Linked DNA regions of Lonchura striata. The protein of the gene in region 1 purifies or fractionates together with the protein of each later gene. This does not show direct contact. Links are inferred from orthologs where the notes say so. Each region holds a gene or a part of one and is shown on either strand. Other genes may lie near its edges. The genes, in order: CDC37, DNAJB1, epithelial discoidin domain-containing receptor 1 and CDK9.

Region 1 (7,592 bases):
CTCAGGGAGGGATTTTGGGAAAAGGAAAGAATTTGAGGCTACACCTGTGGAAATTGGGGTGCACACGGCCTCAGGGAGGGATTTTGGGGAGTCCAGGGGGGATTTTTACCTTAATTTTGGTGAAAAACTGCCGGAAGCAAGCCCTGGGATCCACCTTGAGGCTCTTGGCCAGCTCCAGGATGAACTGCATGACGATGGTCTGGTGGGCCACCTGCTCCATCAGCGCGTGTTTCTGGGGGGAAAACGGGGTCAAAATCCCCCCAAGATCTCCCAAAATCCCCATTCCCCACTCGGCCAAACCCCTTTTTGGGTGAGGAGGAGGCGATTTGGGTCAGGGAATCCCAAGTTGGATTGAGGATGAGACTGGGTTAGGTTCGATGCTCTTTAGGAGCTGTTTGATCCCAAATTAATCCCAAATTCCCTGATTTTGTGGGCTCCTCATCCCAGAAAAACCCTGGAGCTGCAGGAGAGGTGTCAACCTCTCTCCCAAGGAAAGGTGGGTGCTTCTACAGGATGATTTTAAGGATCTTTTCCCACCTCTCCTGCCTTGTAAGTCCTCAATCCTCTCGGGTTTTTTTTGGCAGGAAAAACGGGAAGAAATCCGGAGAGATGAGAACAAGGCAGCTCCAGCTTGCAAAAGTTGGGGATTTTAGGATTTTTACCCCAATTTCAGCCTGACTGCTCACCTCCTCCACCTCCAGGTCGATGCACCAGATGACCAGGTAGTTGGCTGTCTCCTCGCACACCAGGTGAGGGTTGTCCGACAGGTACTTCTGGCTGTCGTCCCAGCGCCTCAGCATCCCTGCCACCGGGAACCAGGAGAATTCCCCCTCCTCAGCCGGGGAACAAACCCCAAACTCCGCCTGGATGAGGCTGGCCAGGAGGGCGAGCACCTCATCGTGAAATTTAACCCAATTCCCCCCAAACTGTGCTTCAGCGGGGGGAAAAAAATGGGAAAAAGCACACAAAATCCTCAATTTTTCAGCGCAGCGAGAGGATTCTGGGTTGGTCCCACCACGGGGGGTGTTCCCAAGCTTGGAGAACCCCAAAAAGCGTCCCCCAGCTCCCTAAAGCCCCCCAAACCCCCTCACCAAAGTGTTTAATCTGCTTCTCGTATCGCTCCACGAAGGTTTTGTGTTTCTTCTCCTTCTGCTCCTCCGTCTCCTCCTTCTCCTCGGCCTTCACGTTGAAAACACTCTGGGAATGCCAAGGAAGGCAGGGAATGACTTGGGGGATTTAGGACACGCTGGGGGTGCTTTTTTTGGGGGGTTTTCTCCCCAAAAAACCCGCACCTTGCTGAAGCCATCCTTGCTGAGCGTGTCCACGTTCCAGGGCATGTTCTTCTCCTTCTTCCTCAGCTCCTCCAGCTTGTTCTCCCAACTTTTCTCCTCGTTCCTCAGCTGCTGGGCCTCGGCCTGGAGCTTCTCCAGCTCCCCTTTCCCACTCTCCGGCTCGGCGACTTCCAGCTCCTTCAGCTTCCTCTGGCACTCGGCCAGCTTGCGCTTGCACTCGCGGCAGCCTTTATCCAGCTCCTCCTTCTCCTTCTGGAACTGCTCCATGCGCTCCACGCGGGCCTGGGGCGGCAGGGAAGGAGCTGGGGCGCCTCGCTCCCGGGTTTTGGGGGGGTTTTGGGGGGTTCAGGAGGGGCTGAACCCCCAAATCCACCCCAGGGAGCTGCAGCTTTTCCGTAGGGAATTGGGGAGGATCTGGAATTCTGGCGATTCCCACGGCCCAAAGCTGGGTGTGAGCCCTCGGAGGGGTCGCTGCCCCATCCTGGGACACGCAGGGGGATTTTGGGGGGCTGGGACCCCCCCCTCACCCTGAGGTGATTCCCGAGGGAAGGAGCAGCCCCTGGGCACGGCAGGGATGGAGCGGGAGATGCCGGGGGCAGCGGGAACCGGGAATGGGATGGGGAATGGGGAATGGAATGGGATGGGGAGTGGGATGGGATGGGGCACTGGGAATGGGGAACCGGGAATGGGATGGGGCACTGGGAATGGGGAACGGGCTGGGATGGGACATCGGGAATGGGGAATGGGATGGGATGGGGAGTGGGATGGGATGGGGCACCGGGAACGGGAAACAGGGAATGGGATGGGGCACTGGGAATGGGGAACCGGGAATGGGATGGGATGGGGAATGGGGGAATGGGATGGGATGGGGAGTGGGATGGGATGGGGCACCGGGAACGGGAAACAGGGAATGGGATGGGGCACTGGGAATGGGGAACCGGGAATGGGATGGGGCACTGGGAATGGGGAACGGGCTGGGATGGGACATCGGGAATGGGGAATGGGATGGGGCACCAGGAATAGGAACCGGGCCGTGCCGGGATGGGGAACGGGAACTGGGCCGTGCTGGGATAGAGAACCGGGAACGGGCTGGGATGGGATGAGGCACCGGGAACGGGAACCGGGCCGTGCCGGGATGGGGAACGGGAACCGGGCCGTGCTGGGATAGAGAACCGGGAACGGGCTGGGATGGGATGAGGCACCGGGAACGGGAACCGGGCCGGGATGGGGAACGGGAACCGGGCCGTGCTGGGATGGCGGAGCTCCCCGCGGGGGCTCCAGGGATGATCCCACGGGAATGCGGGGAGCCCCCGCCCCACGGGAGCCCCTGGAGCTGGAAAAGAACAACACCCCCCCCCATTCCCCGTCCTGCGGGAACACGGAGAGCCCCCCACACCCCCGGGCTCCCACGAACAACAGATCCCCAGCCCGTGCCTCCCCCGTCCCTCCGGGAATCCCGGGAATTCCGGTCGCCATGGGAACCGGGCCTCCCTGGGCGCGCCAGGCCCGGGGCTTGGGGGCAGAGCGCCGCGGGCCGGGCCGAGCCGCACCTGGTGGCGCCATCGGAAGAGACTGGCGGTGTCGATGTTGGGGTGAGTCTCGTCCTCGTCGTCCGAGACCTCGATGTGGTCCCACACGCTGTAATCCACCATGGCGCGGCCGCCGCCACCTTCCCTCCGGCCCCCGCCCGCTTCCGCCCGCGCCTGACGCACTTCCGGCGCCGCGCCCGGCCTCGCTCGCCGCCCGCGCCAAGCCGCGCCCTCTTCAAAGATGGCGGCGGATTTAAAGAGACACGAGCACACCCCCCCACACACACACACACAGGCATGCGCCATGGTTTTTACCTGCGGGTGTAAAGGAGTCAATAGAATGAATAAAGTCTTTCAAACTATTTTAAGGGTTTAAGTTGAAGGAAAATCCTGATTTGAAAAGGTTTAGTTAACTAGGAACCCCTACTTTCTATTATTTTAGGATTTAGTTGACGATAAATCCTATTTATTAATTCCTTAAATACTTAAATTGAGGAGGGATCTGTGCTTTCCATCGTTTTTAAGCGTTTAAATTGAAAGAAAATCCTGCCTCTTCAGTGATTTGAAGAGGTTTAGTTAACTAGGAATCCCTACTTTCTATTATTTTAGGGATTTAGTTGAGGATGAACCCAAATTTTTAATTACTCAAATAGTTAAATTGAGGAAGAATCTGTGTTTTTCATCGTTTTTAAGGGTTTAAATTGAAGGAAAAGCCTTCCTCTTCCATGATTTGATGAGGTTTAATTGACTGGGAATGACTACTTTCTATTATATAGGGATTTAGCTGAGGATAAATCCAAATTTTTAATTCCATAAATAGTTAAATTGAAGAGGAATCTCTGTTTTCCATCGTTTTTAAGGGTTTAAATTGAAAGGAGATTATTTATGGGACGTTTTAAGAGTTCCATCAACAGGGCCCCTCGATTTTAAGGGATTTTACAGGGAAAATGGTGTCAAAAAGCCCCAAAACTTGTGTTTCTTGAAGGAAAACCAGTAAAGGGAGGAGGAGGCCTCTTGTGGGGTTAAATTGAGTAGGAATTCCATTAAAAATTTAAATTGAGGCAGGATCCAACATTTTAAGGGTTTAAATTGAGGGAAACTCCACCCTTTTCACCATTTTTATGTCTTATTTTGGGAGGAGACCCCCTTTATCCACCATTTTAGGGGTCTAAACATAGAGGGAATGCCTTTTTCCATTTTTGAGGTTTAAACTGAGGGAGCAAAACCTTTTTTTCATTGGTTAAAAGGGTTTAATTAGAGGGGTTACTTAGGAGGGGAAAAAGGGGAGAACAGGAGGGGAAAAGGGCAGGAAATGTGAGGGGAAAACGTGGGAAATGTGAGGGGGAAAAGGCAGGAAATGAGAGGGGAAATGTGAGGGGAAAAGGTGAGAAAGGTGAGGGGGAAAGGTGAGAAAGATGAGGGGAAAATGGGTGGAAAATGTGAGGGGGAAAAGGACGGGAAATGTGAGGGGTAAAGGTGAGAAATGTGAGGGGGAAAGGTGGGAAATGTGAGGGGGGAAAAGGGCAGGAAACATGAGGGGAAAAAATGCAGGAAAGGTGAGGGGAAAATGGGTGGGAAATGTGATGGGAAAGGAGAAGGAAATATGAGGGGAAGAAGGTAGGAAATGTGAGGGGAAATGTGAGGGGAAAAGGGCAGGAAAGATGAGGGGGAAAAGAGAGGGAAACATGAGGGGGAAAGGGTGGGAAACATGAGGAGAAAAAAAGGCAGGAAATGTGAGGGGGAAATGTGAGAAATGTGAGGGGAAAATAGGCAGGAAATGAAAGGGGAAAATGGGTGGAAAATGTGAGGGGAAAAGGTGGGAAATGTGAGGGGGGAAAGGTGGGAAATGTGAGGGGGAAAGAGAGGGAAATATGAGGGGGAAAAAGGTGGGAAATGTGAGGGGAAAGGGTGGGAAATGTGAAGGGGGAAAGAGTGGGAAACGTGAGGAGAAAAAAGGCAGAAAATGTGAGGGGGAAAAAAGACAGGAAATGTGAGGGGGAAAGGTGAGAAATGCGAGGGGAAAAAGGTGGGAAATGTGAGGGGGGAAAAGGGCAGGAAACTTGAGGGGAAAAAATGCAGGAAAGGTGAGAGGAAAATGGGTGGGAAATGTGATGGGAAAGGAGAAGGAAATGTGAGGGGGAAAAGGGCAGGAGAGGTGAGGGGAAAATAGGGAAATGTGAGGGGAAAAGAGAGGGAAATGTGAGGGAAAAGGGAGGGAAACGTGAAGGGAAAATGGCAGAAAATGTGAGGGGAGAAAGGTGGGAAATGTGAGGGGGAAAGGTGAGAAATGTGGGGGTGGAAAGGGCAGGAAAGGTGAGAGGAAAAGAGAGGGAAATGTGAGGGGGGAAAAGGTGGGAAATGTGAGGGGGAAAAGGATAGGAAACGTGAGGAGAAAAAAAGCAGGAAAGGTGAGGGGAAAATGGGTGGGAAATGTGATGGGAAAGGAGAAGGAAATGTGAGGGGAAGAAGGTAGGAAATGTGAGGGGAAAAGGGCAGAAAATGTGAGGGGGGAAAAGGGCAGGAAACTTGAGGGGAAAAAATGCAGGAAAGGTGAGAGGAAAATGGGTGGGAAATGTGATGGGAAAGGAGAAGGAAATGTGAGGGGGAAAAGGGCAGGAGAGGTGAGGGGAAAATAGGGAAATGTGAGGGGAAAAGAGAGGGAAATGTGAGGGAAAAGGGAGGGAAACGTGAAGGGAAAATGGCAGAAAATGTGAGGGGAGAAAGGTGGGAAATGTGAGGGGGAAAGGTGAGAAATGTGGGGGTGGAAAGGGCAGGAAAGGTGAGAGGAAAAGAGAGGGAAATGTGAGGGGGGAAAAGGTGGGAAATGTGAGGGGGAAAAGGATAGGAAACATGAGGAGAAAAAAAGCAGGAAAGGTGAGGGGAAAATGGGTGGGAAATGTGATGGGAAAGGAGAAGGAAATGTGAGGGGAAGAAGGTAGGAAATGTGAGGGGAAAAGGGCAGAAAATGTGAGGGGAAAAGGGCGGGAAATGTGAGGGTGGAAAGAGAGGGAAATGTGAGGGGAAAAGGGCAGGAAATATGAGGGGAAAAGAGCTGGAAGCGTGAGGGAAATGGCCGAGAGTCCCTCAGCCATCCAGTCCCGGACGGACGCACCCTCCCTGCAAAAATCACGTACAAATTCTGCCTTTTAAATTTTTTAATTGATTTTTTTTTTTCCCATGAAAAATACAAAGAGTCGAGTCCAGGGGTGGGGGCCGGGGGGGTCCCGGTCCCCTCCGAGGGGTCCCGCAGTGCCACCAGGGTGGGCACCTTTTGTCCCCACGTTGGGCCCCCCAAAAATGGGCCGGGGCTGAGGTGGGGACCCCTTATTGCTACTGAACTGGGGGTCCCCTGGCCCCCTCCCCAAATTCCAGGGCTGGATCCCTGGGAGAGGGGGTGGGGGTCAGAGTTTGGGGGGGTGGGGGGTGTGATGGCGGATCTGGACACGGGGGTCGCTCCTAAATATTTATATTAATAATAATTAAAACTACAAGAAGCTTCACACAGGCACGACACAAAAAAACCAGGAGCTGGGATGGGATTGGGGGAGGGGTCTGGGGGGAAAAAAGAGGGTCCCGGGGAGTACCAGGATCAGGGGAAAAAACAGGGAAGAATAGGAAATAAATGGGAAATAAACCACTGAAAAGTGAGAAATTATCCCGACAGCGAAGGGAAAATAAATAAGAATCGCAATAATAATAATAATAACATCAATAATAATTAATAAGAATAATAATTAAGAATAATTAAGAATAATAATGACGATAAAGGAGTATGGGGGAACTCAGGGTCGGGGCTTTTGAGGTGGGGTTCCGCCCTTTTTTTGGACAGGAGGCTCCAAGTGGCCAAACTCCAGAAAGTGGAGTAATTTGGGGCAAAAATTGCCCATTTTGGAGAATTTGGGAAGGGAGAGGGGGGAAGTGTGACAAGACACATCCTCTCCCTCCCAGATTTGGGGGTACCAGAGGAATCCCTGGAATTTCAGTGCCACTGACCCCCCAGAACTTGCCTTGATCCCTCTTGGGGTTCACAAGCTGCTTCCAAGGAACTCGGGGAGCACAAAACAGGTTCTCACCCTCTCTGGAACGGCGATTTGGGGGATTTTGGGGGATATTTTTAATATTCTGCTATAAAAATAGATGGATTTGGGTCAGCGGCTCCCGAGGAGTCGCCGCTCCCTGCGTCAGTCACGCTCCTCCTTACCTGATAACGGGTAACAGGTCTAATTAAACACGTGGTAAATCCTTATTTTTTGTTCTTTCTCCCCAAAAATTCCTCCCCCTCCCCCAGAAAATTAAGGGAAAACATGGAAAGAAGGAGAGAGCGAGAAGACGCCCCCCCCCTCTCACCGCTGGAGTCCTGGAGTGGAGGGAAGGGGGGGCACAGCCCCCACCTGGACACACCTGGATCAGGTGAGGGGGGGACACCGCTCCAGGTGGTCCGGCCACTGCCGGAGTGGTGGGGTTTGGGGTACCCGGGGGAGGGTCCCAGGTGTGTCCACAGTGTCCTGGGGGGGTCTCCAGGCTTTCCAGGGCCCCTCCCAGTGCCCTGGAGCACCTGGAGGATTCCTCAGGGTGCCCATCGGGGACAGGTGAGGGCGTCCAGGTGTCCGGGCCGTGCCTCAGGTGTCCCCACGGTGTCCTCAGTGGCCATGGAGGGGGTCTCCGGGGTCTCCGTGGTGTCCCCACGGTCTCCAAGGTCTCCAGGTGCGTTTCTCCATCCTGGAGACCCAGGATGTCCTCGGTGACCATGGAGGGTGCCCGGGACCTGAAG
Region 2 (7,048 bases), about 880 kb from region 1:
ATCCCCGATGTCCCCATGTCCTCCTGTCCCCCCATGTCCCCAATATCCCCCCATGTCCCCCTGTCCCCCGCTGTCCCCTCACCTTGTCGAGGAAGCAGAGCTTCTCCCGGCTGCGGGCGTCCAGGATCTCCACCTCGAAGAAGAGCACGGCCGATTTCTTGGGCCGCTTGCCGGGGGCCACCGCCGGCCACAGCGCCGGGCCACCCTCGGGTGCCACCGCCACCTCCATGCCACCGAAACCCGAGCGGCCCCGCCAGCGCTAAATATAACCCGCCCCCCCTTGGTGGCCCCAAGGTGGCCCGAGGTGGCCCCGAGGTGGCCATGAGGTGGCCCTGGAATTGGCTCCGAGGTGGCCCTGGAGGTGGCCCCGGGCTGGCCCTGGAATTGGCTCTGAGGTGGCCCTGGAAATGGCCACGAGGTGGCTCCGAGGTGGCCCCGGGCTGGCCCTGTGGTGGCCCTGGAGGTGGCCCCGGGCAGGCCCCGTGGTGGTCCCGGGGTGGCCCTGGAGGTGGCCCCGTGGTGGCCCCGAGGTGGCCCTGGAGGTGGCCCCGGGGTGGTCCTGGAGGTGGCCCTGGAGGTGGCCCCGGGCTGGCCCTGGAATTGGCTCTGAGGTGGCCCTGGAAATGGCCACGAGGTGGCTCCGAGGTGGCCCCGGAGGTGGTCCCGGGCTGGCCCTGTGGTGGCCCTGGAGGTGGCCCCGGGCAGGCCCCGTGGTGGTCCCAGGGTGGCCCTGGAAGTGGCCCCGTGGTGGCCCCGGGGTGGCCCTGGAGGTGGCCCCGTGGTGGCCCTGGAGGTGGCCCTGGAGGTGGCCCCGTGGTGGTCCCGAGGTGGCCCTGAGGTGGCCCTGGAGGTGGCCATGGGGTGGCCCTGGAGGTGGCCCCAAGGTGTCCTTGGAGGTGGCCCTGGGGTAGCCCTGGAGATGGCCCTGGAGGTGGCCCCGGGGTGTCCCTGGAGGTGGCCTCGTGGTGGCCCCAAGGCGGCCCTGGAGGTGGCTCCGAGGTGACCCCGGGGTGGCCCTGGAGGTGACCCCGGGGTGGCCCTGGAGGAGCCACCGGAGCGGTGACGGTGGCAGCGCCGGTGGCGCTCAGTGAGGGGGGACAGCGGGACCCGTCCCGGGGTCACCGCGGCCCCTCCGGGCTCTGCACCTGCCCGGGACCCTCCGGGACCTTCCAGAACCTTCCGGGACCCTCCGGGACCTTCCGGGACCCTCCGGGACCACCGGGAGTCCCGGGAGCCCAAGCCACGCCCCCTTAATAGCCACGCCCCCTTGACAAACGCCACGCCCTCCATAGCCCCGCCCATAGCCAGCTCGCCCTCCCGCCGCGCATGCGCACATCACGACGCCCACCGCACATGCGCGCAGCGCGTCCCGGGCGCCCCGGGGTGGAACGCGCGGGTTCCGCGGCGCCGCCGCGCTGCCGCCGTGCGGGGCCGGCGGCGGCGGCGCTGGGGGCCGCTCCGGTGGCGGTGTCCGGGCCGGGCCGCGGGCGGCGCGGCCGCCTCACCTCGTAGTGCTTCATGGCCGCTGCGCTCCGCCGCTCCCGCCGCCCCCGCCGCCCCCACGTGACCCGCCCCTCACGCCGGCGGGGGGGCGGGGCCCGCGGCTCGGCCAATCGGCGGCGCTCGCGTGGCTGGGCGCGGCCAATCAGGAGGCAGCGGCCCCGCCCGCGCGCTCGCCCCTTCCCGCCTCGGCGGTTGCCGGGGCGACGCGAACGCCCGAGGGGGACTCCGCCAATGGGAGGCGGGGGCGGGGCGTGGAGTGACGGCCGCGGCAGCCAATGGGATCGCGGAGGGGGTGGGGCTGAGGGTGGAGTGATGGCCTGCTCGGCCAATGGGCTCGCGGGAGGGGCGGGGAGTGGGAGGGGCAAGCAGCGCATGGGGGCGGGTCTAGAGGGGTCTGAGGGGTCTGGGGGGTCATGGGGGGTCTGGGGGGTCATGGGGGGTCAGGGTGGCCATGGGGAATGGAGGGGTCAGAGGGGCTGGGGGGGTCTCAGGGACTGGGGGGCTGCGGGGTTTGGGGGGGTCCGAGAGGTTTGGCGGGGTCCGAGAGGTTTTGGGGGGTCTGGGGGGCCATGGGGAGGGGAAGGGTCACAGGGACTGGGGGGATCTGGGAGATCTGAGAGGTTTGGGGGGGCTGGGAGGCCTGAAGGGTCTGGGGGGCCATGGGGGTTCTGGGGGGGTCATGGGGACTGGGGGTTCACAGGGACTGGGGGGCTGCGGGGCTTGGGGGGGTCCGAGAGGTTTGGGGGGGTCTGGGGGGGTCTCAGGGACTGGGGGGGTCATGGGGACTGGGGGTTCACAGGGACTGGGGGGCTGCGGGGCTTGGGGGGGTCCGAGAGGTTTGGGGTGGTCTGGGGGGGTCTCAGGAACTGGGGGGGTCTCAGGGACTGGGGGGTCCGAGGGAACTGGGGGGGCTGCGGGTTTTGGGGGATCTGAGGGGTCTGGGGGGTTCCAGGGGTCCGAAGGGTCACAGGGGGGCTGGGGGAGCTGGGGTGGTCGTGGCAGGCTGGGGGGTCCCGAGGACACGCGGGGACACCGTGGGGACACCGTGGGGACACCGTGGGGACACCGTGGGGACACCATGGGGACACTCTGGGACACGGTGACCGCGGGGCCACGGGGACAACGGCGTGGAGGGACCTGTCCCTCCCTGTGTCCCCGTGTGCCCGTGTCCCTGTCCCCAGTGTCCCCAATGTCCCCAATGTCCCCAATGTCCCCATGTCCTCATATCCTCCCCGTTCCCATCCCCGTTCCCGTTCCCGTCCCGTTCCCGTCCCGGTCCCTCCCGGCACCTCCGCCGGTCCCTCCCCGGCTCCCGCCCCGTTCCCTCTCCCGGTTCCTCCGCCGATCTCTCCCCGCTCCCTCTCCCGCCCCTTTCCCGACCCCTCCTCGTCCCCCCCGCTCCTTCCCCGGTCCCGTCTCCGGTCCAGCCCCTCCTCGACCCATCCCCGGTCCTTCCTCCGGTTCACTTCCATTCCCGGTCCATTCCCGGTCCAGCTCTGTTCTCCTCCATCCCTCGGTCCTTCCCCGGTCCATTCCCGGTCCAGCCCTCTCCTGCTCCATCCCTCGGTCCTTCCCCGGTCCATTCCTGGTCCAGCCCTCGGTCTCTCCATCCCTCGGTCCTTCCCCGGTCTCTCCCCGGTCCATTCGCGGTCCCTCCCCGGTCCAGCCCTCGGACTCTCCATCCCTCGGTCCTTCCCTGGTCCCTCCCCGCTCCCTCCCCGGTCCATTCCCGGTCTATTCCCGGTCCAGCTCTCTCGCACTCCATCCCTCGGTCCATTCCCGTTCCATTCCCGCTCCATCCCTCGGTCCATTCCCGTTCCATTCCCGCTCCATCCCTCGGTCCATTCCCGTTCCATTCCCGCTCCATCCCTCGGTCCATTCCCGGTCCCAACCCCATCCCCATCCATTCCTCGGTCTCTCCCCGGTCTACCCCCGGTCCCTCCCCATCCATCCCCGTCCCTCCCGTTCCCTCCCTGTTCCTCCCCGGTCCCACCTGGTCCCTCCCCGTCCCTCCCCGGTCCCACCTGGTCCCTCCCCGTCCCTCCCCATCCCTCCCCGGTCCCTCCCCATCCCTCCCCGTCCCTCCTGGTCCCTCCCCGCTCCATTTCCATCCCTCCCCGTTCCCTCCCCGTCCCTCCCGGTCCCTCCCCGTCCGTCCCCATCCCTCCCCATCCCTCCCCCATCCCTCCCGTTCCCTCCCCATCCCTCCCCCATCCCTCCCCATCCCTCCCCATCCCTCCCGTTCCCTCCCCGTCCCTCCCGGTCCCTCCCCGGTCCCACCTGGTCCCTCCCGGTCCCTCCCCATCCCTCCCCCATCCCTCCCGGTCCCTCCCCATCCCTCCCCCATCCCTCCCGTTCCCACCTGGTCCCTCCCCGTCCCTCCCCATCCCTCCCGGTCCCTCCCGTTCCCTCCCCATCCCTCCCCCATCCCTCCCCGGTCCCACCTGGTCCCTCCCCGTCCCTCCCCATCCCTCCCCGGTCCCACCTGGTCCCTCCCGGTCCCTCCCCATCCCTCCCCCATCCCTCCCCGTTCCCTCCCGGTCCCTCCCCGCCCCCCCGCCCCTCGGGGCTCCCTCGCCGTGCCCGTCCCGCGGAGTCTCTCGCCGTGCCCGGTGCCAGAGCAGCGGGGCCGGCCATGGGCAAGGATTATTACCGCACGCTGGGGCTGTCCCGGGGCGCCTCCGCCGCCGACATCCGCCGCGCCTACCGGCGGCAGGCGCTGCGCTGCCACCCCGACAAGGACCGCTCGCCCGGCGCCGAGCAGCGCTTCAAGGAGGTGGCCGAGGCCTACGACGTGCTCAGCGACCCCAAAAAACGGGAGATCTTCGACAAGTACGGGGAGGAGGGTGAGCGGCGGCACCGGCGGGACGGGGGCGGCCGGGACGGGGGGCACGGCAGGGGCGGGGAGGGGAGCGGGGCTCGGGGGGTCCGGGACCGGAGGGGATTTGGGGGGTCTGGGGAGGTCCGGGCCGGGGGGCTGGGGGACACCGGAGGGGATTTGGGGGGTCGGAGGGTCGGGGGGGGTCCGGACCGGGGGGTTGGGGGACACCGGAGGGGATTTGGGGGGTCAGGGGGTCGGGGGGTCCGGGCACGGGAAGGGATTTGGGGGGTCGGAGGGTCGGGGGAGGTCCCGGCCAGGGGGTTGGGGGACACCGGAGGGGATTTGGGGGGTCAGGGGGTCGGGGGGTCCGGGCACGGGAGGGAATTTGGGGGGTCAGAGGGTCGGCGGGGGTTCGGGTCGGGGGGCTGGGGGACATGGGAGGGGATTTGGGGGATCGGAAAGGGACAGGTGATGGGGACAGGTGAGGGGGACAGGTGACAAGGACAGGTGACAAGGACAGGTAAGGGGGACAGGTGAGGGGGACAGGTGAGGGGGACAGGTGAGGGGACAGGTGAGGGGACAGGTGAGGGGACAGGTGCCAGGGCCAGGTGCCAGGGCCGGGCCCGTGGGTCGGGGGGCGCGGGCATGGCCAGGGCAGGTGTGACACGCACCGGGCGGGCGGGGGGCTCCGGGGCCGGTATCCCACGGGGGTCTCCGGGGCCGGTATCCCCCGGGGTCTCCGGGCTCGGTGTATCCTACGGGGGGCTCGGGGCTCGGTGTCCCCGAGGTCTCCGGGGCCGGTATCCCCCGGGGTCTCCGGGCTCAGTATCCCCCGGGGTCTCCGGGCTCGGTGTCCCCGGGGTCTCCGGGCTCGGTGTCCCCGGGGTCTCTGGGCTCGGTGTCCCCGGGGTCTCCGGGCTCGGTGTCCCACGGGGGTCTCCGGGCTCGGTGTCCCCGGGGTCTCCGGGCTCGGTGTCCCCGGGGTCTCCGGGCTCGGTGTCCCCGGGGTCTCCGGGCTCGGTGTATCCCACGGGGGGGGCTCCGGGCTCGGTGTCCCACGGGGGGCTCCTGGCTCGGTGTATCCCACGGGGGTATCCGGGCTCGGTGTCCCACGGGGGGCTCCGGGCTTGGTGTCCCCGGGATCTCCGGGCTCGGTATCCCCCGGGGTCTCCGGGCTCGGTGTCCCACGGGGGGCTCCGGGCTTGGTGTCCCCGGGATCTCCGGGCTCGGTATCCCCCGGGGTCTCCGGGCTCGGTGTATCCCGTGGGGGGGGCTCCGGGATCGGTGTATCCCACGGGGGTCTCCGGGCTCGGTGGATCCCCCGGGGGTCTCCGGGCTCGGTGTATCCCGTGGGGGGGGCTTCGGGCTCAGTATCCCCCGGGGGTCTCTGGGCTCGGTATCCCCCGGGGTCTCCGGGCTCGGTATCCCCCGGGGTCTCCAGGCTTGGTGTCCCCGGGGTCTCCGGGCTCGGTGTCCCACGGGGGACTCCGGGCTCGGTGTCCCACGGGGGGAGCTCCGGGGCTCGGTGTCCCCGGGGTCTCCGGGCTCGGTGTCCCCGGGGTCTCCAGGCTCGGTGTATCCCGTGGGGGTCTCCGGGCTCGGTATCCCCTGGGGTCTCCGGGCTCGGTATCCCCCGGGGTCTCCGGGCTCGGTGTCCCCGGGGTCTCCGGGCTCGGTGTCCCCGGGGTCTCCGGGCTCGGTGTCCCCGGGGTCTCCGGGCTCGGTGTCCCGCGTGGCGGCCCCGGCGCCGGGCCAGCCGCCCGGGGGTGGCCGCCGGGGCGCCGGGGCGTGCCGGGGGGAGCCGAGCCGGCCGGGCCTGTCGGAGCCCGTCCGGGACCCGTCAGCGGCGTCGGCGGCGCGGGCAGAACCGGTTCCCCCACGCCCTCGTCCGCTCCACGCCCTGCCCGCGGCTCACCCCGGGGTGGGGTCTGATGGGTGCCTGGGGTGCCTTCATCCATCCCTCACCACCCTCCAACCCATCACCCCCCAAAAACCTTCAGGGCTGAAAGGGGGAGCCCCGACCCCCGGACCGGGTGGCGGCACCGGTCCGACGTTCACCTACACCTTCCGCGGCGACCCGCACGCCATGTTCGCCGAGTTCTTCGACGGGCGCAACCCCTTCGACACCTTCTTCGCGCAACGCAACGGCGACGACGAGGATGGAGACGAGGCCTTCAGCACCTTCCACCTGGGCGGCTTCGGCAGCGTCAGCTTCCCGCGGGCCCGGGGCGCCGAGGGTCGCCGGCAGGACCCGCCGGTGCTCTACGAGCTGCGCGTCTCCTTGGAGGAGATCTACAGCGGTTGCACCAAGAAGATGAAGATCTCCCACAAGCGCCTGGGCCCCGACGGGAAGACGGTGAGGAACGAGGACAAGATCTTGACCATCGAGGTGAAGCGAGGGTGGAAGGAGGGCACCAAGATCACCTTCCCCAAAGAGGGCGACCAGACGGCCACCAACATCCCGGCCGACGTGGTGTTCGTGCTGAAGGACAAGCCGCACGACGTCTTCCGCCGCGACGGCTCCGACATCGTCTACCCGGCCAAGATCAGCCTGAGGCAGGTCGGTGGTGGTGGTGGTGGTGGTGGGATGGGGGTGGTGAGAGGTCAGGGTGGGTGGGCTTGGGGACATCAGGATGGGTGGGCATCATGGGGACATCACAGATGGATCGTCTTGGGGACATCAGGGATGGGTTGGGGACGTCAGGATGGGTTGGGGACATCAGG
Region 3 (7,672 bases), on another chromosome or scaffold:
AACACCCAACCATTGACCCCAACACCCAATGGATGACCCCATGACACAACCATTGACCCCATGACACAACCATTGACCCAACACCCAATGGATGACCCCATGACCCAACCACTGACCCCAACACCCAACCATTGACCCTAACACCCAACCATTGACCCCAACACCCAACCTGAGATGAAGGACACCTCACTGAAGAGCATCCACTCGGCGCCGAAGAAGAAGCGGCACTGGATGAAGCGGGCGTGGCGCCCGCCCAAGGGCACGGCGACCCAGCGGGCGCTGGCGTCCTTGGTGGCCCCGGCCAGGCTATGGGTGGCCACCATGGGCTCCCAGGCCGTGGCCAAGATCTTCTTGAAGCGGCACTCGACAGCCCGGAAGATTCCGACCCCGCGCGTGTGGAGGTTGTTGCAGTGGACCTGGGGGGGTGATAGCACGTCCCATGATGCCCTGGGGCAAGGTGGCCAATCCCGAAGTTCTCCAGAGGGACATTTTGGACCCCGAGGTGGCCTTGGCGTGGTGGCCACCCCTCCATCCGTCCATGGCTGACCAATCCCACCGTTCCCGGTGCCCCAGATCTCCCAGCATCCCCTGGGGCACCTGCATGGCGTGGAAGGCACGGAGCTCCTGGAACTCGAACTCCAGCTCCACGTGGGGCTGGGGCCCCGGCGGCCGCGGCCACCCCACGTAGTCGTAGCCCGGCCACAGGTGGCGCTCACGGGTCCTCAAGAAGTCATCGAGGCCCAGGACCCCGTCCGAGAGCTGGCCCAGCCCCCCGAAGTGCAACCTGGGCAGGTGGGACACACCTGGATCGAGATCCTCCAGTGACACCTGGGAACCCCCCAGTGACACCTGGGCAGGTGGGACACAGCTGGATCTGGGGATTGTCCCATCCCACCTACCTGGGACCCCTCCCAGTGACACCTGGGCAGGTGGGGCACAGCTGGAGATCCCCCAGTGACACCTGGGAACCCCCCAATGACACCTGGGCAGGTGGGGCACAGCTGGATCTTGGGATTGTCCCATCCCACCCACCTGGGGACTGCCACGGGACAACCTGGGAGTGTTTGGAGACACCTGGGGATGGTTTGAGGACACCTGGGGACACCTGGAGACACCTGGGGATGGTCTGGGGACACCTGGGGACACCTGGGGACACTCACGGGCCGGCGCTGAAGCCGTCGTAGATGGAGTCGTTGAGGACGATGGGGGCGGGGTCCAGGGCCATGACGTGTCCCCGCGGGGCCGTGTAGGACAAGAGCCCGGCTGGAGACGGGGAGGGGTCACCGTGAGGTCACCACCCCTTGGGGACACCCAGGAGGTGCCATTGGGTGGGCTGGGGGCGTGGCCATGATGATGTCATGAGCCAGTGAAGGATGTTGTCAACCAATCGTTGACCCCATGACCCAACTGTTGGCCCTACACCCAATGGATGACCCCAATTGATGACCCCAGCACCCAATGGATGACCCCAACACCCAATGGATGACTCCATGACCCAACCATTGACCTCAACACCCAATGGATGACCCCAACACCCAATGGATGACTCCATGACCCAACCATTGACCTCAACACCCAACCATTGACCCCACAGTGACAAGACCCCAACTCAGCTGCCCCAGGGTCACCACCAAGGGCCGTTGGGTGCTGGATGCAACCGTGGGTGACCACCACCCCTTTAGGGCCACCAGCAGGGAGGGGACTGAGGTGACCCGGGGGTGACCCGGGGGTGGCAGTGAGGTGACAGTGAGGTGGCAGTGAGGTGGCGCTCACCCTCCCAGGGGCAGCCGTAGAGCTCCAGGCGCAGGCAGACGCTCATGGCGCGCGGCGCCCGCGGGTACACGCGCAGCGCCCGGGCCACCGGCGCCGGGGACAGGTCCTTGAGCACCACGCCCTCGGGGTCCTCATTGCCACCGATCACCTGCGGAGCCAGCACCCAAGGGTGGCGTCAGCCCGGGACACCCCGGGAACTTCTCGGGGTCTGTCACAGCCCGAGGTCTCCCGGGGCGTCCTCGATGGCCTCGGCGCCACGATGTCCCCAAGGTGTCCCCAAAGTGTCCCCGAGGTGTCCCTGAGGTGTCCCCGAGGTGTCCCCAAATCCCCTCAATGTCCCCAATATCCCCAAACTACCTCAACACCCCTGATGTCCTCAAATCCCCCCAACATCCCAAACATCCCCAAATTCCCCAACGTCCCCAAATCCCCTTAACGTCCCCAAAGTCCCCAAATCCCTTCAATGTCCCCAAACCCCCTCGATGTCCCCAACACCCCCAAATCCCCCGTTGTCCCCGTGGCCACCTCGTGTCCCCAGCGGTCCCTCCAGCGCAGCCAGCGGCGCCGGTCGCGGCTGTAGCGCAGCCGGTACTGCCGGGCGAACTCGCGGCCGTGTCCCCCCGCGTGGCGTCCCTGCGTCCCCACCAGCGTCACCACGTGCAGCCGGCCCAGGTCCACCTCCAGGAACTCCTGCTCGGCCGGGAACACCGGCCCCGCCGGGCACCAGGCGCCGTCGCCGTCGCTGCGGCCCAGCCTGGGGACGTTTGGGGACATTTGGGGACGTCTGGGGACGTTTGGGGACGTTTGGAGACATTTGGGATGTGAGAAAAGTCACAGAATTTGGGGACATTTTGAGGTTTGGGGACACCCAGGGGTCATTTGGGGACACCCAGGGGATGTTTGGGGACATTTGGGGACATTTGGGACACTCAGGGATGGGAGGACATCCAGGAGAGTTGGCGACATTTGGAGTTTGGGGTTTATACTGGTTTATACTAGTTTCTATCAGCCCATACTGTTCCATACTGGTTTCTATCAGCCCATACTGGTCCATACTGGTTTATACTGGTCCGTACTGGTCCATACTGGTTTAAACTGGTTTATGCTGGTTCTTACTGGTGCGTACCGGCCGTGGCGGGCGGCGGTGGAGTCGGACCAGGCGCTGGAGGCCGAGAGGCGGAAGTCGGGGATGGTCCCGTCCTGCATGCCCAGAGCGAAGCGGCAGCGGCCTGGGGACATCGGGGGGGACATTGGGGACATCCAGGGGTCATTGAGGACATTTGGGGACATTGGGGACATCGGGGGGGACAGCAGGGGACATTGGGGACACTGGGGACATTGGGGACATCCAGGGGTCATTGAGGACATTTGGGGACATTGGGGACATTGGGGGACATTGGGGACATTGAGGACATTGGGGACAGCCAGGGGACAGTGGTGTCATCAAGGGGGATTTGGGACATTGGGGGGACAGCAGGGACAGGGGGGACATCGAGGGGATTTGGGGCAATTGGGAGATTTGGGGACATTGGGGACACTGGGGACATTGAGGTGGACACTGGGGACATCCAGGGGTCATTGAGGACATTTGGGGACACTTGGGGACATTGGGGACACTGGGGCCAGCGGTGGCCGAGGGGTCACTCACCCAGGTCCAGCGCTGTCCCCGCCGGCCCCCGCGGGGTCCCCTCGGCCACCCCGGCCAGCAGCAGGAGGGGGAGGGGCAGCGGCAGCGCCGCCATGGCCCCGCCCCCAGCCCGGGGACTGGGAGCACTGGGAGGGAACTGGGAATGAGCTGGGAGGGACTGGGATGGACTGGGAGTGAACTGGGAGGGACTGGGAGTGAACTGGGAGGGACTGGGATGGACTGGGATGGACTGGGAGGGAGTGGGAGGAACTGGGAGGGACTGCGAGGGAACTGGGAGGGACTGGGAGGGAACTGGGATGGACTGGGAGGAACTGGGAGGAACTGGGAATGAACTGGGATGGACTGGGAGGGGACTGGGAGGGAACTGGGAATGAACTGGGAGTGAACTGGGATGGACTGGGAGTGAACTGGGAGGGAACTGGGAGGGACTGGGAGGGACTGGGAGGGACTGGGATGGACTGGGAAGAACTGGGAGGAACTCGGAATGAACTGGGATGGACTGGGATGGACTGGGATGGACTGGGAGGGACTAGGAGGGACTGGGAGGGACTGGGAGGAACTGGGAGGGACTGGGAGGAACTGGGAGCACTGGGAGCCCCCCAGCCCAGCAGCTGCTCCCAAAATCCTTTGCTGGAATTTCCCCCCTCCCCCCTCCCCCCCACAACAGCTGCAGAGGGGGCGTGACCTCGGCTTGACCCCACCCCGTAATTTGCATAAAGATGAATATTCACCAGCCCCATTTAAAACCACCCGGGGCGGACAAAATGGGCCCCAAGTGTCCCCAAAATCCATCCGAAATTCCCCCAAAAAAATCCCCAAAATTTCCCCCGAGCCCCCCAAATCCCCCCCACAAAATTCTCAAAATTCCCCCAGACCCCCCAAAATCCCAAAAATCCCCAACATTCCCCCATATTCCCCCCAAATCCCCCAAACTCCCCCCGATTTCCAGAAGTTCCCCCCAAATTTCCCCTAAATTCCCCCCCAGTTCCCCCGAAATCCCCCGAAAAATCCCAAATTTCGCCTAAATCCCCCAAATTCCCTCCAAAATTCTCCCAAATTCCCCCCAAACACGCCAAAATCCCCAAATTTCTCCTAAATCCCTCCAAATTCCCCCCAACACCCCCAAAATTACCAAATTTGCCCCCCAAATCCCCAAATTTTCCCCAAATTCCCAAAGCCCCAGTGGCCGGTGCCCACCGCTCTCCTCGGCTCCTTCTGGTCGCTCCCAAATCCCCCCCGGATCCTCCCCAAATCCCCCAAAATTCCCGGGACCTCCCCCCGGGGGGGCTCCAGGGGGGCTTCCGGACTCCAACATTCCCCAAAAAAATCCCAAAACAAGAAGTGGGGAAATTCCCACAATTCCGATTTTTTTTGGAGGGGTAAAACCCCCAAAATTCCGTTTATTTGGGAGCTTTTTATTCCCCAATTTCCCCGAATTCCCTTTTTTTTTTTTTTCATCCTTTTATCCAAAAAATTCCCGTTTTGGGGAATTGTTATTCTCAAAATTCCCATTTCCCCACCCCCAAAATTTCCATTTGCCCTGCTTCATCCGCTCCCCCGCCGCAAATTCCCATTTCCCCCAAAAAATTCCCATTTTTCCTCAATTCCTCCCAAAATTCTCATTTTCCCCCTTTTATTCCCATTCCCCGCTATTCTCCCCATTCCCTCCCCCAATTCCAATTTTCCTCTGTTTCTCCCCAAAATTCCCATTTTTCCCCAAAAAATTTCTGTTTTCCCCATTTCCCCCAAAATTCCTATTTTCCCCCCAGAATTCCCATTTTTTCTCCAAAATTCCTCTTTTTCTCCAAAATTGCCGTGCTTTCCCGTTTCCCCCACAAAATGCCTTTTTTCCCCATTTTTATCCCAAAATTCCCATTTTCCCCAAAAAATTCCTGTTCTTCCCATTTTCCCCAAAAAATTCCCATTTTCCCATTTTCATCCCAAAATTCCCATTTTTTTTCCATTTTTATCCCAAAATTCCCATTTTCCCCCCAAAATTCCCATTTTTATCCCCAAATTCCCGTTTTCCCCCTTTTATTCCCATTTTCCCCCCTCCGCCTCCAGCCCCGGCCGGGTCACGTGACCTCGCAGCTGCCGCCCCTCCCCCCCCGGGGCCGCTCCCGGGAACAGCTGGGAAAGGGGGGAGGGGAAATTCCGGTGTTTGTTAATTAGTAACTAATTAATATGCATAGCTGCTTAATTAGCCATCGCTGTCAGTAGTTATCAATCGTTATTAGCCATTATTGCCCAATTAATTATCATTATCTTGTAATTATTAGTGATTATTAGCCATTATTAGTGGTTATTAGCCATTATTGCCCAATTATTAATCATTATTTTGTCATTATTAGTCATTATTAGTTATCATTAGTCATTATTTCCTAATTATTATTTATTATTTCCTAATTATTAGTGATTATTAGTTATTATTAGCCATTATTTCCCAATTATTATTCATTATTCATCGTTATTAGCCATTATTTCTGAGTTATTAATAATTATTTCCAAATTATTAATCATTATTCATCATTATTGAGCCTTAATAGTCATCATTAGTCATTATTCATCTTTAATGGTAATTACTAGTCATTATTTCTCAATTATTAATAATTATATACTAATTAATAGTGATTATTAGTAATTCTTAGTCAGTATTTCCCAATTATTAGACATTATTTCCTAAGTATTAGCAATAATTAGTAATTATTTCTCAATATTTTTAATTATCTCCTAATTATCAGTCATTAGTCATCATTATTTTCTAATTGTAATTATTTTTAAATTAGTAATAATTATTCCTGATTCTTAATAATTATTTCCTGTAATTAATCATTATTCATCACAAATGATTATTCCTTCCTAATTAATAATCGTTATTTCCTATTATTATCCGTTATTAGCCCCAACAACTAGCAATCATTATTCATAATTACCCATTAATTAGCAATTATTACCACAATTTCCCATTAATTACCAATTAGCCATCACTCCGAACAAACCGCGCCTTCTCATTAGCATACCCCCACCCCTCATTGCACATACACGTCAATCATCCTCGTAACCCCGCCCACATGTCAATCATCCGCATAACCCCGCCCCTTCCCGCCCACACGTCAATCATCCTCATAACCCTGCCTCTTCCGCACACACGTCAATCATCCTCGTAACCCCGCCCCTTCTTGCCGCAACCCCTGCCGCCCAAACCCCGCCTCCCTCTCCTTTTCACCAATCAGCGCTGTCGCTGGGGGAGAGCAGCCAATCAGCGCTGTGTGCGCGCGGGGTGGGGGCGTGGCCCGGCTGCCGTGACGGGGAGGCGGCGGCGCCATTTTAGAGGCGAGCGGGGCGGGGGCGGCTGGGGCGGCCCGGGGGGCTCTGGGGGTCTGTGGCGGTCTGTGGGGGTCTGTGGCGGTCTGTGGGGGTCTGTGGGGGCTCTGTGGGGGCGGGTGGGGGCGGGTGGGGTCCCGGGCGGGCCGGGGCTGCTCGGGACGGTTCGGGGGGGCCTGGGGGCGTTTAAAGGGGTTTGGGGGGGGCTGGAATGGGGGGGGGGCTGGGGGGGGCGAGGCCTGACTGGGATCGATGGGGGATTTATAGGGGATTTATTGGGGATTTATAGGGGATCTATAGGGGATTTATGGGGGGTCTATAGGGGATTTATGCGGGATTTATAGGGGATTTATTGGGGATTTATGGGGGGTCTATAGGGGGTTTGTAGGGGATCGATGGGGGATTTATTTGGGATTTATAGGGAATCTATAGGGGATTTATTTGGGATCGATGGGGGATTTATGGGGGATCGATGGGGCATTTATGGGGGGGGTCTATAGGGGATTTATGAGGAATTTATAGGGGATTTATGGGGGGGTCTATAAGGGATTTTTGGGGGGTCTATAGGGGATTTATGGGGGGATCAATAAGAGGTTTATGGGGGGGTCTATAGGGGATTTATGAGGAATTTATAGGAGATTTATGGGGGGTCTATAAGGGATTTTTGGGGGGTCTATAGGGTATTTATAGGGGATTTATAGGGGGATCAATAAGGGGTTTATGGGGGGTCTATAGGGGATATTTGGGGGATCTATAGGGGAGGGGATCTGGGGAATATCCGGAGTGGTTTCTGGGGATATCCGAAACCTATGGCGGCTATAGGGGATTTGGGGAGGGTTCGAGGGGTCTGCAGGGGATTTTTGGGGGGGTTTGGGTCCTATATGGGACCTATGGAGTCTATAGGGGATTTTTGGGGGGATTTGGGCC
Region 4 (7,634 bases), on another chromosome or scaffold:
TATTGAAGGGTTAAGTGAATGCAGTGCCCTCCTTAGGTGCCTTGCGCCAGCACAATGTTCAGGCTGCAGAGGTGGGAAACAAGGATTTCCCTCCAGCCTGTGCTAAGACACCTGCTCCTTGGAAAGTCACCCTCTGAGCACAGCAGAAGTCTTTCCCATTACCTTGTTCCTGTGGATGTAGTAAAGTCCATTCAGGAGCATCTGCATAACTTTCTTAATCTCTGACAGTGTGAACTTGACATGGGCGTTGCTGAGAAGGCCAGCCAGGTCGTGCTCACAGAAGTCAAACACAAGGTAGATGCTGCCCTTGCACCGGTTGTACGGAGAGGCTGCGGGAGAGGCACAGAGAGGCTGCCAGTGAGGGACCTTTCACTGGGTCACAGCTCCTCTCACCTCCCACTCATACAACACCCCCTACACAGAATCTCAGGGCACGGGAACACAGAGAACCAGACAGCCTGCAGGCCTCAAGGTCCTTTTTAAAGAACTGAGCAAAAACTAGCAACACAAGAACGGGAGATGAGGATTGGTGCAGCAAATGTCATCAGAAAGGCAAGGAAAGGGCATGGCAACCTTTGAAAGCTTCACTTCGTGCAGCTCTGGGCACGTAACGGCTGTGGGGTTTCCTCCCTGCAAGCTGTGGCTGCCAGCCAAGCACCAGAGATAGAGGAGACACCCACAGACAGCCCCGGGAAAAATGCAGAAACACAGAAAATCTGTCTAATCTCACATTAAAAAGTGAGATTTCCTGCAACCTCAAACAGGATCTGCAAAAACGGACTGATCTTGATCAAAGTGATATAAAACTCCAATTTTAATTGAATGATAGCAGACTTTAAGTGAAGACTTTAAGTGATAAGATAGCAGACTTTAAGAGATTTTAATCTTGTTCCTAGAGCACCCACGCAAAACATTATTAAAAAGAAAAGCTGATTTTCATCAGTTGTAATCAGCAAACCTGCTGATCAGCATCTCCAGCCGGAAAAGCTTAGCCCCCAGAGAAGCACACTACTCTCCTCCCCAGGAGGGTGCCTGCTACACTGAGTTTGCAGTTCCTCACACAGACACAGCCCCAAACACGCCTTTCCAACACAAAAAGAGAAAAGCCTCATGTTTGACAACAGTAAATGAAACATTTCTACTTTACTGCAAACTGAGGTCAAGGTAGATTTGGATAAAAACTGGAATACAAACAAAACATAAAAAGGGAACAAATGACATGTCTACAAAAATATTTACTTTTGGTATGTGAGACACCCAATCATGGCAGCTCTTTTAATCACAGAGTGAATTACAAATTAACTTGTCATTGGTGTCTTCACTCATACCTATTCAGACAGTAATCTACACACAATTCAGTGTACTGGAGTATCTTGAATTTCCCATCACTAGGCCAGACATTTCTGCCCATTCAGTGACTGGACTTTTTAAATAACACCAGATACAGAGGCTGAGGAGCCTCTGCTCCAAAGTGCTTGTTCGTTTAAAGCCTCTCAGAAGGAGCTTCCCAGCACAGGCATATCCTGGCAGGACTACAACAGCTTTTTCCATCTGAGCTTCAGCAACGTCCTGACTCATTTAGGAACTCTTTTCCAAGGTAAGTAACCTGTCACCCCATGTCACAGGCAGGAAGAGAGGCCCATGCTCAGCTAGACCACTCCACTCCCAGCACAAGACACCAGCCTGCTCACCACTGGCAGGGCTCAGAAAAGCCATCATTGACACAAGGGACACCCTGCAAAGTACCTTTGGTCCTGCAGATTTCTATGAGGTTCACCACATTCTCATGTTTGAGCAGCTGGAGGATTTTAATCTCTCGTAAGGCTGTGATGGGAAACTGGAAAAGAGAAAGAGAGAATGGAGGTTGGAGATGCAGGAGACAAGGCCATCTTTGCCAGAGAACAGGAGGTGTGACCATGCAGCTTGACAGGTCCTCCCCTCCTCTCCTCACCTTTTATATTCACACTAGGACAGGGTACAGCCCAGCCTGAGCTGCAGAACAGCCTCCCTGGCTGCTGCCTTTGCTGTTTAAGCTCTTAACTCTCTCCCCAACCCCTGAGCATGTGTCTGACACATCACCCAGTTCTTCCACAGACACAGCCAGTGTGGAGCCCTGTGCTCAGGGTCCCAGAGGAGAAGAAACACATGGGAAGCAGCCATCCCATGCAGCCCAGTCCCCTCGCTGCTGCCATGTGCCTTTGCAGCCCAGGTGACAACAGGCCCAACCCAGCCATGCCCCACACTCACCCCTTCTTTCTCATTTTCCATCAACACCTTCTTCAGTGCTACTTTCTTGCCTGTCTGGCGATGTTTAGCTTTGAAAACTTCTCTGTTAAAAAAAAAAAAAAAAAAAAAAAAAAAAATTTAAAAAATATCCATGAGCAGCACAAGGAGAAAGGAGCCAGGTGCCCCCACAAGGAACAAGCCCAAACAAGATACACTAAAGCACCACACAGAGAACTCTGTGCTGAGCCAATATAGCCACATTCCCCTGGGCCAAAGGCCCTCAGGACTCAGTGAACCAACAGAGAGCCCAGATCTCTTGCAGCCTTACAAGGATTTCCAGTAATGTAGCACATTTTGAGCAAAAAGCTGTACATTTGGAGCCAAGCTGCACATTTGGAGGCAAGTTACAGGTCGCCACCCTAACTGTTTTCAAGGTTAACTCTGCTCTGGCAGAGCTGGGACAGAGCGGGACCTCAGGTTGGGAAAAGAGGGCCCAGGAAACAGACTGGCTCTCTGAGGGCAGAGGGGCGGCAGGGGAAAGGACACCGAGCAAGGAGCACCCGAGGCAGGCACGATGGGCCGCGGGCTGGGCCCAGCTGCAGGCCTGAGGCTGGGGAAGGCCGGGGCGGGTCATGGAGGGCCGGGGCCGGCGAGCACTCACCCGAAGGTGCCCTGCCCGATCTTGGCGAGCTTCTCGTACTTGGAAACCTCGTCGCAGAAGGGGCACTCGACCATGTCGTACTGCTTGGCCATGGCGGCCGCGCCGTTGCCACAGCACCGCGTCCCGCCCGTTCCGCCACGTGACGCCGTCACGTGACCCGCCCGCCCGCGCGGGGCCCTGTGGGTGTTGCAGTCCCTGGGGCCGCCGCCATGTTGTCCCTCCTCGTGGCCCGGGAGCCCCGAGCGCTCCCCGTGGCCCTAAAGCGCTTTGCTGGGTGCCCCGTGTGTGCTTAAGCACGTCAGGAGTTAAACAAGGCTTCTGCTCCTGCAGCTGCGGCTCTGACGCAGGGAGGCTTTGGCCAGGCAGGAGGACTCCAGGGTCTGGTTCAGGGGACCCTGAGTTCCTCCCCTGGCCGTGACTGTGTTCAGGTGCAGGACAAAGAGCTCCATCTCAGGCTGTTCGAAACCGGTCCCCGAGGTGCACAGCACCAAAGGACCGAGCTGTGGCAGAGGTGGCTGCCAGCGGCTTGCTGAGGGAAACACAGACAGCAGACCCCTGCTGGGTCCAGGCCACCTTGTCCTGCATGGCCACACTGTAATGGAGCACTGTCCCCAGAAGGAGAGAGTGGCTGGTGAGGAGTGCTCCTGCTGGCAGCGACGCCACCCAGCTCTCATCCCACACGGGCTGAGCATCTGACGTGCACGGCAGAGTTCTGTCTGCAGGGCTGGAGCCTCACCCACACAGCTGGCACCCTCACCCAAAGGGCTGTCACGCTCCTCCTAAGGCTGCCACCTTCTTCCATGAGGCTGGAACCCTCTTTCAGGGCTGGCACCCAGAGGTTTTTGGTTGTCCACATCTGGCAGATGTCCCCAAACCGGGGTGCGGAGGTGACTCTCGAGCAGCCAGGCAGGTGCAAGCAGCCACGGGGACTTCAGGAACTGTGGGGACAGCGCGAGGGCGGGCAGGGACAGCAGCGGGGCAGGGAGCAGATGACAGCAGTGGGGAGGAAATGCTGAGCGAGCGATGAGCGGGGTGGCTGGGGGGGCAGGAAGGGAGGAGCAGGCAGGGAAGGGCTTCACAGTTATATACTTGTCCCTCTTAGTCCCCGCGGCCTCCAAGCAGCACGGCCATGGCCGAGGGCCAGAAACGACGGGGCTTCAAGAAATTCAGTAAGTGGCCACGGCACAGGGTGGGCGGGCTCACCTGGACGTCTCGGTGGGTAGGAGGATGTGTGACAGTTAGTGTTGAGTGTGTGCTTACACGCTCCCCAGGTCATCCCATCCAGGGATGGGGTCATCCCAATCCAGGGATGTTTGGAGCTGTGACAGCCTCTGCTTTTGTTAGGAAACTCAGTGGGGTGAGGGACTTTGAGGTTTTCATCCACAGGGCTGGGTGCTGGCTCAGGAGCTGGGTGCAGGGACTGGGACCAGTATGCTGCAGCACAGCCCTGTGCTGGATGCTGGGATGTGGGCAGAGGGATGCACAGCAGGATTTGGAGATTCTTCACTCCTTAAATCATTAAACCAACTTCAGGGTGCATGGCTTGGGTACAAGATGGTGCTGGGGGCCAGGGGTGGCTAGGACCCTCACCCCAGGGTGCTCCTGCAGCACAGGGACGGGGGTGACACAGAGAAGCTGGGGAGGGAGCCTGGGAATGGATTCCCACCGGCTCTTCTGGGAGGAAGTGCTTGATACCCACCGGGAGCGAGCTCTGCACTTTCTCACAGACCTCAGCTTTCCCCCGGAGCTCCGGGGGGAGGCTGCAGTGGCCTTCACCCCATTCCCAGCGCTGGGCTGTGCTCTTGCATTCCTGCCACGGGGCTGGCGCCAGAGGGGGGTCAGTCCCTCTGCTCCCCCGGGACCCCTCCACTGGCCAAACCCAGGGCCCCATCCCAGCTGGGATTTTCCTTTGTGGTGGAGTGGCGTGGAAATTGAGAAAATCCTCAGGGCTGCCTTTCCCACCTTTCAGCAGCCCCAGGAGCAGCAGGTAGCAGAAGATGCTTGGACTCCAAGGGGATGTTTAGCACAAAGTAATTTTGCCTCTAACTGCACTCAATGAGGTTTCTGCCTCACAGAGGGGCTTTTGGGATGCAGCCCCTCCACCCTGTCCAGCTGCAGGGATGCCCCACAGAACCCGTGGATGGCAACTGGAGGTGGGAATCCAGGGGCTGAGCAGCCCGGGACACCCTGGTCCTTGCTCAGCACCTCTGCAAAGTGTCGCTTCCTGCCCCAGCAAATCTGCCGTGCTTCGCAGAGCCCCGGGGCGGCATCAGCACTGCAAAATCCCCGGTGGGAACCACGGCGGCAGGGAAGCGCTGCTCAACAGCACTGCAGCCACAGGCTCGCTCAGCCCGAGCACCGGCACCGGCACCGGCACCGGCACCGGCACCGGCACCATCCAAGGCTGCGCTGCGGTGACACACAGAGCCGAGCTGGGGCTGGGGTGTGAAATGCAAAGCCGCCCGCCGCAGTTATAAATATTTCTCCGGCGAACATGTTCATGCTCAGCACTTGCAGGTGGCAGCTGGAGCTGGCGAGGGGCCGGGCGAGGAAGTGGGGAGGTTATCTGCTGCCGCAGCAGCGCCCGTGGCTGGTTCCTGCTCCATCGTGCCGGCGACATGCACATGTGGGCAGGTCATGTGCATCCAGGACCCCCATTCCCTAGGGAGATGCCGTGTGGCCCATTCTTGCATCCTGCAGGGCTGCCCTAAGGTTGCGGGGATGGGCATAGCTCTGCCCAGAGGCCCCTGGAGGAAGTAGGTGTTAGAAATAACTTTTAGAGTTGCCTGCTCACCAGGGTTGGGTGTTTCCTCCCCTCCTCAGCCGTGGTAGGGAGATACAGCCGCTAGATTTGCCAGGCACAGGAGACTTCTGCTCCCCGAGGGACCAGGGCAGAGTTCCCAGGTACCCAACAGACATGCCTCAAGCAGCATCATGTACACCACAGACCACAGGGATATCATGCCAAGCTGGGCCTGCAGATGTGGGTGTAACAGGGTGACACCAGGCTGCATAGTGCTCCTTGCTCAGCCCAACCCAGGACCAGGGGCTCTGGGATCCCCCATCATCACACCATGCCAGCAGTAACCCCACACTCATCACTCCTTTCTCCTTGCCAGAGTTTTTCAGGTTCAAAGGCTTTGGGAGCCTGAGCAGCATCCCCCGCTCCTTCACCTTCCGGCGCGTCCCTGTGGACCCCAGCTGTGCCGACAATCTCAGAGCACATGTCCCACCTCCCCACGGCTTCCTGGGAGAGCCCTTTGACAGCACCCAGGATGATCTCAACACCGTGCCCAAGAGCCCTGGCCCCTACGCCCAGTCGTCGAACATGTACTCCCACATGGGCACCATGCCCAGGGTGAATCTGGGCAAGGCAGGGAAGAGCCTGGGCAAAGACAAGAGTAGCCAGAACTGCTGGGAGAAAGGGACTCCCAACAACAAAACCCCCCAGGCAGCCCCACTCCCCAGCCTCAAGTGCCCTGAGATGTCCAGCACCCCTGCCCCAGGCACAGACTCACCCTTGACTGCTGGAGAAGCAGGGCAGGAGGAGGAAAAAGCTGAACCTGGGGACACCGTGGAGGCAGCAATGGACAGGACAGACCAGGAGCCTGTGGGAAACGTCTCCTGCCCTAGGGCAGAGACACTGAGCTCCAGCCTGGCTCCAAACCCCAGCCAAACCACAAGCCCTGACACAGCAGCTGGAGCAGAGACCACTGATGGGGATCTGCTGGAAAAGGGACAAGAGCATCCTGACAAGATCTCCCCAGACAGGTATAACCCTTGAGGTTTGCTCTGCCTTCTGCTAAGACCCCCATTTTGCTCCCCCACAGGGCAAGAGGAGGGGGCTGGGACCAACCAGGGTCACTGCAATGTCCCCTCGTGCCCACAGTGCCAGCGGGATGCACCTGGCCGGTGGGACAACACAGCTGGAGCACGGTCAGGTCAGCGGCTCCATGGGAACGAGGTTTCCTGTGGGATTTCTGCTCCCTCCTGTTTCCGGACGGGGTGGAAACATCTCGCAGCCCCGCTCTGCCCCGGCATCTCTTTGTCCTGCGGCGGCTGCGTTCCAGCACCAGGATGTGCTGCTGCGGAGAGCTCACAGCAGCACTGTTACAGCCTCCTCCGCCTCTCTCCGCTTTTCCACCCCCTCTGTCCTCTCCCCCTCTGCCGAGCAGCGCTGCCTCTCCCAAGGCACAGGGGCAAATCCTGAAACCAGACACTCCGTCCCTATTTCATCACCTACCAGTAAACCCCCACTCTGGGCACAAATTCCCCACTCCAGGCACAATCTCTCCCTCCGGGGGAATTTGGAGGTTCAGCCCTCTGAGATGACGGATGGATTTTTTGGAGGGTTTTGACCGCAGAATCAACCTTAGGGATTTTTATCCTCCAGCCCCATGGCATCTGGGCATAAGGGGCCAAATGCGACCCCAGCCCAGGAGGGTGTGCGAAACTGGGGACACAGGCAAAGGCAACTCCAAATTTCTCCCGAAAACATTTCTCCCCCTTTCCCTGGCCTGACTCTCCTCTCTCTGCGCTCAAGTGGCCCCGGTGTCCCTTTCCCCCTGCACCGCCCCGGGGCCGGGGGCTCCTTTTCCTGACACTGAGCGTTCCTGAGGTCCGGGTGGTCCCGGGAGCGGGGTGAGGAGGAGAAATTCGGCGGTGGGAGCCGGGCTGTGCCGACCACACATTCCTGGCGGCCCGAAGGGTGGGCCGGAGGAGGGCTGGGACGGGAAGGAGGAGGGTC

The links.
Region 2: the proteins of CDC37 (region 1) and DNAJB1 purify together in Homo sapiens (affinity purification with mass spectrometry; 3 studies listed by BioGRID and IntAct, with this or other methods). This does not show direct contact. The link is inferred for Lonchura striata from reciprocal best matches to the Homo sapiens genes CDC37 and DNAJB1.
Region 3: the proteins of CDC37 (region 1) and epithelial discoidin domain-containing receptor 1 purify together in Homo sapiens (affinity purification with mass spectrometry; 3 studies listed by BioGRID and IntAct, with this or other methods). This does not show direct contact. The link is inferred for Lonchura striata from reciprocal best matches to the Homo sapiens genes CDC37 and DDR1.
Region 4: the proteins of CDC37 (region 1) and CDK9 purify together in Homo sapiens (affinity purification with mass spectrometry; 9 studies listed by BioGRID and IntAct, counting the BioPlex papers as one, with this or other methods). This does not show direct contact. The link is inferred for Lonchura striata from reciprocal best matches to the Homo sapiens genes CDC37 and CDK9.

The regions. Positions count from the first base shown.
Region 1 is NC_134623.1:1,357,388-1,364,979, reverse strand, and holds the start of CDC37 (hsp90 co-chaperone Cdc37), read right to left. Parts: upstream 3,013-7,592; 5' UTR 2,945-3,012; coding exon 2,843-2,944; intron 1,575-2,842; coding exon 1,293-1,574; intron 1,198-1,292; coding exon 1,092-1,197; intron 803-1,091; coding exon 687-802; intron 233-686; coding exon 110-232; intron 1-109. UniProt on the Homo sapiens protein: Co-chaperone that binds to numerous kinases and promotes their interaction with the Hsp90 complex, resulting in stabilization and promotion of their activity. Inhibits HSP90AA1 ATPase activity.
Region 2 is NC_134623.1:2,238,486-2,245,533, reverse strand, and holds the start of DNAJB1 (dnaJ homolog subfamily B member 1), read left to right. Parts: upstream 1-4,042; 5' UTR 4,043-4,138; coding exon 4,139-4,349; intron 4,350-6,324; coding exon 6,325-6,884; intron 6,885-7,048. Other genes in the region: TECR (very-long-chain enoyl-CoA reductase), read right to left, coding at 83-323. UniProt on the Homo sapiens protein: Interacts with HSP70 and can stimulate its ATPase activity. Stimulates the association between HSC70 and HIP. Negatively regulates heat shock-induced HSF1 transcriptional activity during the attenuation and recovery phase period of the heat shock response.
Region 3 is NC_134631.1:71,485-79,156, reverse strand, and holds the start of epithelial discoidin domain-containing receptor 1, read right to left. Parts: upstream 3,013-7,672; coding exon 2,900-3,012; intron 2,528-2,899; coding exon 2,299-2,527; intron 1,922-2,298; coding exon 1,774-1,921; intron 1,264-1,773; coding exon 1,161-1,263; intron 785-1,160; coding exon 598-784; intron 417-597; coding exon 170-416; intron 1-169. UniProt on the Homo sapiens protein: Tyrosine kinase that functions as a cell surface receptor for fibrillar collagen and regulates cell attachment to the extracellular matrix, remodeling of the extracellular matrix, cell migration, differentiation, survival and cell proliferation.
Region 4 is NC_134624.1:694,197-701,830, reverse strand, and holds the start of CDK9 (cyclin-dependent kinase 9), read right to left. Parts: upstream 3,015-7,634; 5' UTR 2,980-3,014; coding exon 2,888-2,979; intron 2,330-2,887; coding exon 2,248-2,329; intron 1,838-2,247; coding exon 1,747-1,837; intron 330-1,746; coding exon 163-329; intron 1-162. Other genes in the region: SH2D3C (SH2 domain-containing protein 3C), read left to right, coding at 4,017-4,056, 6,007-6,658. UniProt on the Homo sapiens protein: Protein kinase involved in the regulation of transcription.